Linked DNA regions of Saccharomyces cerevisiae S288C. Changing the gene in region 2 together with the main gene of any one other region gives a genetic interaction. Each region holds a gene or a part of one and is shown on either strand. Other genes may lie near its edges.

Evidence for each region.
Region 1: of PYC2 (region 2) and MLS1, extra expression of one rescues a mutant of the other (dosage rescue), as found in Saccharomyces cerevisiae (one study listed by BioGRID).

The regions. Positions count from the first base shown.
Region 1 is NC_001146.8:404,539-408,835, reverse strand, and holds MLS1 (malate synthase MLS1), read right to left. Parts: upstream 2,479-4,297; coding exon 814-2,478; downstream 1-813. Other genes in the region: ubiquitin-conjugating protein DMA2, read right to left, coding at 1-495; DCP2 (decapping enzyme complex catalytic subunit), read left to right, coding at 3,272-4,297. UniProt on the Saccharomyces cerevisiae protein: Malate synthase which takes part in the glyoxylate cycle. MLS1 activity is essential for cells to grow on oleic acid as a sole carbon source.
Region 2 is NC_001134.8:658,207-664,457, forward strand, and holds PYC2 (pyruvate carboxylase 2), read right to left. Parts: upstream 4,044-6,251; coding exon 501-4,043; downstream 1-500. Other genes in the region: ATG12 (Atg12p), read left to right, coding at 1-186; YBR219C (uncharacterized protein), read right to left, coding at 4,293-4,375, 4,797-5,097; YBR220C (uncharacterized protein), read right to left, coding at 4,789-6,251. UniProt on the Saccharomyces cerevisiae protein: Pyruvate carboxylase catalyzes a 2-step reaction, involving the ATP-dependent carboxylation of the covalently attached biotin in the first step and the transfer of the carboxyl group to pyruvate in the second.

The DNA.
Region 1 (4,297 bases), on a different chromosome or scaffold from region 2:
AGACTCTTGAACGTTACCAACATTGTTGCCTTCGAAATTATGCGCAGATGATTGCTGGTGGTCTGTGGTTGTAGGGGCAGTGAGAGATATGGAGATGGGGAGTTGATAGTTGCGATGAACGTGGAACTGGGCCGACAGAGGCATTTGTATAGGATGATGCAGACGTGGTTCCTGCTGTTGCGGAGCGGTATCGATACTTTCCATGGCCACACTCATATGTGAGTTAGATGGGGTTGTGCCGAATAGACGCTGATCAGGAGCCGCAGAAGAAGAAGCTGTCTGGCTATTTTGCCTAATTCCGAAGGTATTCAAAAACGAACTGATACCCGACGCCGGACGAGCCCGCTCATTGGATGGAGTACCACTGGCTCTGTTCCTTGGGTTTATGCCACTACTGCTAGTGGTGTTGGCATTTGATGCGGATGAAGAGTTGGACGTCATCGATGAAGTTGGTGCAGTGGGAGCAGGGGTATTAGCAGGGATAGGCGTGTACATTTCCACGGTATATCCTTTGCTGAAAGCTTCAAACGTATACAATGCGTTGCTATACTTTCTCGACTTCTTTTCAAATCAAAATATATGCCCACGTTTGGAGTCATCAAGTATTGTGTTTGAAATTCCACAACAATGGTTGATGCCTTCGCCGTCGACCGTGATACATTAATCTGGCCAAAACAAAAAAAGGAATCATGATAAGATGATTCATTGCTAACTACGAAACGAAGCAATATAAAGATAAGTTTTTGGATTCCGATACATAATCATATAGGCATGAATATATTTTTATATATGTGTACACTGGGGCAAGGGAGATCACAATTTGCTCAAATCAGTGGGCGTCGCCTTAGTGGACACAATTTCGTCGTACAACAATGTAGTCAAAAATTCACTGAATTTCTCGCCTCTGATTTCTGGCAAGAAATACTTAGCGGCCAGCGCGAATTTGTTCTTGTCACCCAATGGACTTGCCTTAGACAGTCTTTCCACTTGTTCTTTTAGAATCTTTTCGGTTAATTCTGGGGTGACCTTTTCTCCCGTGTCCTTTAGAGTAACACCGTGTTTCACCCATTGATACAATTGACAACGAGACACTTCAGCAGTGGCGGCGTCTTCCATCAAGTTGTTGATGGGCACACATCCAGAGCCTCTGAGCCAAGCTTCCATGTACTGCAACCCGATATCCAAGTTTTGTACAATTCCCTCGGTAGTAATCTCACCATTTGGAATTTTGGTTTCCAGCAGATTAGCAGCCGTTACAACGTTTTCAGGAATGAAATAGATTTGGTTTGGTGTTCCCATATTAATGAAAACTTCATTACAAATAGGGGCCAGTGCTGGGTGTGCAACCCATGACCCATCATGTCCATTTGTCAGCTCTCTAATCTTATCATTACGGACTTTAGTCATGGCCTTTTCATTGGCTGCCGGGTCGTCTTTGATAGGGATTTGCGCAGCCATACCACCCATGGCATGAACACCCCTCCGATGACAGGTATTGATTAATCTTTTCACGTATGCATCCATGAATGGGGAAGTCATAGTCACTTGATTTCTATTGGGCAAAATGTGATTAGGATCATTTCTTAATCTCTTGATTGTAGAGAAAATATAGTCCCAACGTCCGCAATTCAACCCACTAGAATGTTGTCTTAATTGATAGATGATCTCTTCCATTTGGAAAGCAGCAGGCAAAGTTTCAATCAACACAGTAGCTCTGATTGTACCCCTTGGGATCCCAATGTAATCTTGAGCTACACAGAAGACGTCGTTCCATAGTTTAGCTTCCAAGTGGTGCTCCATCTTTGGCAAATAGAAGTAAGGACCTTTGCCCAATTTGATTAATTCTTTGGCATTATGGTAGAAATATAAACCAAAATCAAAGATGGAAGCGCTGATTGGTTCATCATCTACATAAAGGTGCTTTTCCACCATGTGCCAACCACGGGGTCTCACGATAATAGTGGGCAAGTTGGCCACATTTCCATTCAATTTGTACGATTTTCTTGGTGTGTCAAAATCGATTTGATTTCTGATCGCGTCGTAGAGATTAACTTGACCGTAAACCATGTTGTTCCAAGTAGGTGAAGCTGAATCTTCAAAATCAGTCATATAGGTGTTCACAGGAGCATTCAAAGCGTTGATCAGCATATTTCTCAATGGAGGCCCTGTGATTTCCGTTGACCTATTAATTAACCCCGGTGCCAAAATTGGACCTTGCCAAGTGGGATCATTTCTAATATTTGCAGTTTCAGGCAGGAAATCCAGATGATAGGAGCCCGAGTCTAATTTCTTCTGAACAACTTGTCTGTTTTCCAATAATTGTTTTCTCTTGTTGTTGAAAGTTCTGTGTAAAAGAACAATGAACTCTAGAGCATCCTTGGTAAGAATATCTCCCACTGTAGTACTAGATGGTTTAAAGAAAGGCTCCTTATCAACATCCACCAGTAATTTGACGTTATCCAAACTGACCTTAACCATTTTCTTAATTCTTTTATGTGCTTTTACTACTTTGTTTAGTTCAAAACAATAGTCGTTATTCTTAGGTACTATAGCATAAGACAAGAAAAGAAAAATAAGGGACAAATAACATTAGCAGAAGTACGGTATATTTTACTGTTACTTATATACTTTCAAGAAGATGAGTTAAATCGGTAGCCAGTGTAGAAAAATAATAATAAGGGTCATCGATCCTTCGCATTTTATTATCCAATTAAAGATACGAATCACGGCAAACTATATTCAAAGCTCATAGATAATCGTCGTAAGGCTGACACTGCAGAAGAAAAGTCATAATTTGAATACTAGCCGGTATGAAACTGTGATTGATTAACCTGGGGTTACCTAAAGAGAACATAAGTAATACTCATGACAGAATCAAAACACAATACAAAATTTATCCGAACCTCGGCCCGACTGCCGGCTCGCCGGGAAAGGGGACAACCGCTTCTATCCGTCGACTAACTTCATCGGCCCAATGGAAGCTATGATATGGGGATTTCCATTGAGCCGATAGCAATGTAGGGTAATACTGTTGCGTATATAGTGATAGTTATTGAATTTTATTACCCTGCGGGAATATTGAGACATCACTAAGCACGAATTTTACGTCTGAGGAAAGTTGAATGATGGCAAAATAACCAGGAAAAACAAATATTGAATCCTTGTGAAGGATTCCACAGTTGTTTAATCCTCCTTAAGCTCACTTAGTATCAATTGTCTAAATAATATTGCTTTGAATCTGAAAAAAATAAAAGTACCTTCGCATTAGACAATGTCACTGCCGCTACGACACGCATTGGAGAACGTTACTTCTGTTGATAGAATTTTAGAGGACTTATTAGTACGTTTTATTATAAATTGTCCGAATGAAGATTTATCGAGTGTCGAGAGAGAGTTATTTCATTTTGAAGAAGCCTCATGGTTTTACACGGATTTCATCAAATTGATGAATCCAACTTTACCCTCCCTAAAGATTAAATCATTTGCTCAATTGATCATAAAACTATGTCCTCTGGTTTGGAAATGGGACATAAGAGTGGATGAGGCACTCCAGCAATTCTCCAAGTATAAGAAAAGTATACCGGTGAGGGGCGCTGCCATATTTAACGAGAACCTGAGTAAAATTTTATTGGTACAGGGTACTGAATCGGATTCTTGGTCATTCCCAAGGGGGAAGATATCTAAAGATGAAAATGACATAGATTGTTGCATTAGAGAAGTGAAAGAAGAAATTGGTTTCGATTTGACGGACTATATTGACGACAACCAATTCATTGAAAGAAATATTCAAGGTAAAAATTACAAAATATTTTTGATATCTGGTGTTTCAGAAGTCTTCAATTTTAAACCTCAAGTTAGAAATGAAATTGATAAGATAGAATGGTTCGATTTTAAGAAAATTTCTAAAACAATGTACAAATCAAATATCAAGTATTATCTGATTAATTCCATGATGAGACCCTTATCAATGTGGTTAAGGCATCAGAGGCAAATAAAAAATGAAGATCAATTGAAATCCTATGCGGAAGAACAATTGAAATTGTTGTTGGGTATCACTAAGGAGGAGCAGATTGATCCCGGTAGAGAGTTGCTGAATATGTTACATACTGCAGTGCAAGCTAACAGTAATAATAATGCGGTCTCCAACGGACAGGTACCCTCGAGCCAAGAGCTTCAGCATTTGAAAGAGCAATCAGGAGAACACAACCAACAGAAGGATCAGCAGTCATCGTTTTCTTCTCAACAACAACCTTCAATATTTCCATCTCTTTCTGAACCGTTTGCTAACAATAAGAAT
Region 2 (6,251 bases):
ATGTCACAGTCTTTTGCAATGGTTATTTTATTTCTTAAGAGACGGCTGAAAATGGACCATGTTTATTGTTATATAAATAATTCGTTTGCGCCAAGTCCGCAGCAAAATATTGGTGAACTTTGGATGCAATTCAAGACTAATGATGAGCTTATTGTAAGTTATTGTGCATCCGTAGCGTTTGGTTAAATACCCGGGCGCTGGAATGGTCTAAGAAGAAAACCTACAGTCGATCAAAAATCCCGTACGATATTAAATAGAGTAGTTAACGTACTTGAGCGTTATAAACTCACATTTTCACTCAAGAAGAAAATGGAGAATGGAGACATGGTAAGTGAAAGCATTAAGGAAGAAACACAGTTAGCACGTATTTCATCGAAAGTGTTTGATTACTTTCTATTTGGCATTTAAATATACATGGGAACATAACTAGATAAAATATACGCCATATATAGTACAGCTAGTATTTTCAGATGTCATAAAATATAATTAACGAGTAAAAATTACTTTTTTTGGGATGGGGGTAGGGTTTCTTCTTCTAGGACAACCAACAAATCTGATGCGTCAACACTTTCACCATCCTTAATGAAAACGTCTTTAACTTGACCATCTGCTGGTGAAGAGACAACCATTTCCATTTTCATGGCACTCAAAACAGCAATCGATTCGCCCTTTTTCACCAAAGACCCTTTATGTACTTTAACTTCTATGATAACACCAGCCATTGGTGCACCGATTTGGTGAGTATCGTGGACATCAGCCTTTGGTTTAGCAACAGATTGTATGTTTTGTGACTTGTCTGCAACTCTGATCTTTCTTAATTCACCGTTCAATTCAAAATACACTTCTCTTTGCCCAGTTTTCTTATTTAAGTCACCAACAGCTTGCAATTTGATAATCAAAGTCTTACCTTGTTCGATGGTGACTTCGATTTCTTCATCAGGTTCTGCTGGTGCTAGGAAATTTTTGGTTGGTAGAACTGATAAATCACCGTATGTTTCTCTGATCTTTTGGAAATCTTCATAGACCCTTGGATACATATTGTAAGAAGCAACATCGCATTCATCAATATCACCGAATCTGTTCTGCAAGTCTTCTCTAATTTTTTCGAGATCAAATGGTTCTAATTCTAAACCTGGACGGCACGTCAACTTTCTTCTCTTGTTTCTCAATACATCAGATCTTAATGGTTCTGGGAACCCACCGTATGGTTGACCAATTAAACCTTCAAAAAAGTCCATAACAGAGTCAGGAAAGTCCAAAGAATTAGCTAAACGTCTAATATCGTCGGAAGTCAGTTTGTTAGAAACCATGAATTGAGCTAAATCACCGACAACCTTAGAAGTTGGGGTAACTTTAACAATATCTCCCAGTAGGTAATTGGCTTCTCTGTAAGCTCTTTTAGTTTCAGCCCATTGTTCACCAAGACCCAGTTGTTGAGCTTGGAATAACAAGTTAGTCAATTGACCACCTGGGATTTCATGTTGGTAAACTTCTGGATCTGGTCCCTTCAAGTCGGCCTCGAAACAAGAATACAACAGTCTCATTTCGGCCCAGTATGCATCTAATTCACGAACATGCTCAACGTTAATCCCAGTATCAATGTTACCTTCTAATGAAGCCAACAGTGCATTAATTGATGGTTGGGAAGTTAAGCCCGACATTGAATTGATAGCTACATCGACAACATCAGCACCTGCTAGGGCACATGCAGTCATAGACGCAACAGCAGTACCTGCGGAGTCATGACTGTGAACATGAATTGGTAAATCCGGATATCTGGTTCTTAGGGAGCCAATTAATAATTTGGCAGCGGCCGGTTTCATAGTACCTGCCATATCCTTAATACCCAAGATATGTGTACCCATTTGAACTATTTTTTCAACAACTTCTAGGTAGTAGTCTAAGTTGTATTTCTTACCTGGCTGAAGCATGTCACCAGAGTAACAAACAGTAGCTTCGACAACACCACCGGCCTTCTTGACAGCATTCACACCAACTTTTAATTGTTCTAAATCATTCAAGGCATCAAAAACTCTAAATATATCAACACCATTATCCTTGGCTTGCTTGACAAAATGGTCAATAGCATTGTCAGGTAATGAAGAGTAAGCCACACCGTTGGCACCACGTAATAACATTTGGAATGGAATATTAGGCACCAGAGATCTTAATTTTCTCAGACGTTCCCATGGATCCTCATGCAAGAATCTCATTGCAACGTCGAATGTAGCACCACCCCAACATTCTAAAGCGAAAGCACCTGCAAGGGCATGTGCGGTTGTTGGAGCGATTGTAGCCAAATCGTGGGTTCTGACTCTTGTTGCAAGTAGAGATTGATGAGCGTCTCTCCAGGTGGTGTCCATCAGTAGAGTACCATTGAACTGTCTGACTTGCTTGGCAAATTCAGATGGTCCCTTTTCCAGTAGCACTTGTCTCCATCCGGATGGTGGTGCAGACTTTGTAACGTTGATGACATTGCCCTGAGCATCGTGCAAATGGGGGACACTTGGATTTGATTTTAGTTTTGGCAAGCCAATTTGACCCTTAATAGAAGAACCGTTAACTGCCAAGTCTGCCAAATAGTGTAACAGTTTTTGCGCTCTGTTTTGTGACGATACCATTTGGAACAGTTGTGGGGTGTCGTCAATAAAAGTCGTCCAGTATGTACCCTCAATAAAAACTGGATTGGTCAAAAGAGTCAATAGGAAGGGAATGTTGGTCTTAACACCTCTGATTCTGAATTCGATCAGGGCACGAATCATCTTCCTACGGACGATTTCATAAGTAGAACCAGAGCATGAACATTTGACCAGCATTGAGTCGTAGTGAGGCGAGATAGTAGCACCTGCATAAGCGTTACCACCGTCCAATCTCACACCATTACCACCGGCAGAACGATAGACCTCCAGGCGACCGGTATCCGGTTGGAAATTCTTAGAGGGATCTTCAGTGGTAATACGACATTGGATGGAAAACCCACGGGTGGTGATTTTATCCTGTAATAGACCTAGTTGAGTCAAAGTGGCACCTGCGGCAATCTGGATTTGGGCAGAAACAATGTCAATACCGGTGATTTCTTCAGTGATGGTATGCTCCACTTGAATTCTTGGATTAATTTCAATGAAATAGTGTCTGTTTTGGTTGTCAACCAAGAATTCGGCGGTACCTGCGTTTCTGTAACCACATACCTTAGCTAATTTAACAGCATCTGTCAAAATAGCGTCACGAACTTCACGGGGCAAAGTCTTTGCTGGAGCGACTTCGACAACTTTTTGGTGTCTTCTTTGCACAGAACAGTCTCTTTCGAAAAGATGAACCACGTTTCCGTGGTTATCAGCCAACAATTGAACTTCAATATGCTTTGGCTTGTCCAAGAATCTTTCCACAAAGCAGGTACCATTACCGAAGGCAGTACGGGCTTCGGAGGTAGCACGTTGAAAGGCATCTGCCACGTCGTCACCTTCTCTAACGACTCTCATACCTCTACCACCACCACCAAAGGCGGCCTTAATGATCACCGGGTAGCCGTATTCATTAACGAAGTCAAGTGCCTCTTGCACAGTTTCGATAGGTCCTGGAGTACCGGGAACGGTAGGAACGTTAGCTCTTGCTGCCAAGTGTCTGGCAGAGACTTTGTCACCCACAGAGTCAATAACTTCAGCTGGAGGGCCGATCCAAGTGATACCGGCCTTCACTACTTTGTCGGCAAATTCCGAATTTTCAGACAAGAACCCATAACCTGGATGGATGAAATCCACCTTATGCTTCTTTGCAATTTCGATGATCTCGTCCATTGCCAAGTAAGCACCCACAGGTGTATACTGGCCCTCCTCCCCGATAACATACGCTTCGTCCGCCTTCAACCTGTGCATTGAAAGACGGTCCTCATGGGAGTATATGGCGATGGTTCTCATAGACAGCTCATGAGCAGATCTAAAAATTCTAATCGGAATTTCACCTCTATTGGCGACCAAGATCTTATTCTTTTCGCCGAGCAAACTGAAATTGTCCCTAAGACCGGCCAATTTCTTGCTACTGCTCATATTTTATTTTGTTCTCTATGTCCCTTATTTTCTCTCCTAGTAACTGTCCTTTATTTTGCAATATAGTAATTGGCAAAAAAATCAAACTCAAATGACGGGCCACAGATAGTAAGCTACAAGAGTTTGGAAGAAAAGAGGGGCTTGTTTATGTATGTAATCAAGTAAGGATACCGAAAGTAAGAGAAAAGAAAAAAGGACTAAAAATCACAGAAACACAATAGGAAATATCCGATGGGGAGTACTTCTTACTTAACACTCCCTGCGCCAATTCTGACTCTTATAATAAATAGCTCGAGACGTAACTGCCAAAATTGTAAAAAAAAAATGAAAAACTATTAGAAAATTAATTGCGAAAAAAAAAAGGTTAGTCATATGTGCCTTTGCGGCGTCTTCCGCAGGAAGGACCCCTCTCTGCCAATCACAGAAGAGCTGGCTGTGCCTGTGCGGTACGCTATCAGCAGCTGCGTCGGGTAAGGGACACGTCGTTAGTGACAATCGTGGTTAGTTTTCGTACAGAAAGATGACCTTAATTGATAATTAAAGTATAGAAATGTCGTATAGTATATTTTTCCCTTGCATGGAAAAAACTGGGATAATGTGATGATTCTCATTAACAGATTTACACTGGTATTGATACTCATTTTGTTTCTGCTTCCTGTAGTACATAAAAAGATCTTGTAAATATTACGATACTCGTTAAAATTTTCTTGAACGTAATGTCGTACAATTCTTGTTTGAGGGGTCGTTACGTACATCTCCAGGAACTGATTGGCAGACTTTGTAAATGGAGGATTTTCCTTTTCAAATATCCAAAATATAGGAAAAGTCCGACTACAATACATATGAGATTGGTGATGTAATAGCCGTCACGCAGGATGGTCACGGTGCCATTCAAAAGCTCGGTGCACGCTTGCATGCTGCCGCCGTGAGTTACGTATACTTTATTTGTGCCAGGAATAGTGCACTGATACACGGTGAAGTAGTTGATCATGGACATAATGATTAACCGCGGCCATGTCCCACCGAAGTTGCTGAGGGTATTTAACAATGTCATATATGTGCCACCCAGCACGGGGTCTGCAACTCTTGTATGGAAGGCCGATATTCCAATGAACTGGACAGTATTCATGAAGGAACCTAAGAGGTGCTGGAATATCACGAGACAAAAATAACCCGTGGATATTTCACCATCCTTGGGGAATTGCTTCACCACGTAACTTCCCAAGACCGCGGCTGCCAGACGGCCCAAAAAGCCCCACAACCATGGTGTTAAAACGCCGGCATCCCCAACTAAGAACTTGATGACCTTGTTGGTGCCCGTGCTGTTTCTTAATCTTCTATTGTCACGAATCATGGGGTCCTTGTCGGAGCTCCATTTAACAACATAGTACCCAAATATGATTTCGAACGGCAGGTCTATGAGTACTGTCACAGCCAAGTCTTCTCTTTTGAAGCCTTGCTCTAGTAGTTTCAGGTTTGTGGCGGCTTCGTTGCATTGAAAGGCAAATTTCGAAATCATGTGAATGAAGGCTAGGCTTCTTACGGACTTCAATTTCAACACTTTTATAAAGCAGCGGTAAATGTACTTTATACTGCTTGTATTCTGAGTTGACACCACATCACCGTCGTCATACTCAATACTTATCGGCTTTGACCCTCCGTCACTTGTATTTATGGGCTCCACTTTGGGCAAATACTCTACGTAGGGTTTTTCCTTGGTGCAAAAGATGATATATATGGTTATTACAATGTAAAGCATGCCCGAGAATTTCATGTACCCACCAAGACTAATGAACCCGTGATCCAGTGGGATGTTTCTGAAATACTTATTGGCGAAATCAGAGGAATTCAACGACAGGAAAATGGTAAATGACATAAAATAACCAATATTCAAACCTATTGTTTGCGCGGTAGATGCATATGATAGGGATTCTTTGGACAAAATCGTCAACGCCCAACCATCAACTGCGATGTCTTGAGTGGCACACAGAAAAACTAACAGGCCAAACCACCACGTCAAATTTTTTATACTGACACTGTGTAAAGTGCCATTACCGCGATTATGGAACGCATCGTCGACACCATCGAAGATTATGCCTTGTGATATGCACCACCCTAATGCCCATAGCACAAATCCACTAACAAATTGTACTGGAATGATCCATGATCTTCTTCTACCGATGCGCTTGTTGTACAGTGAGTCTACTA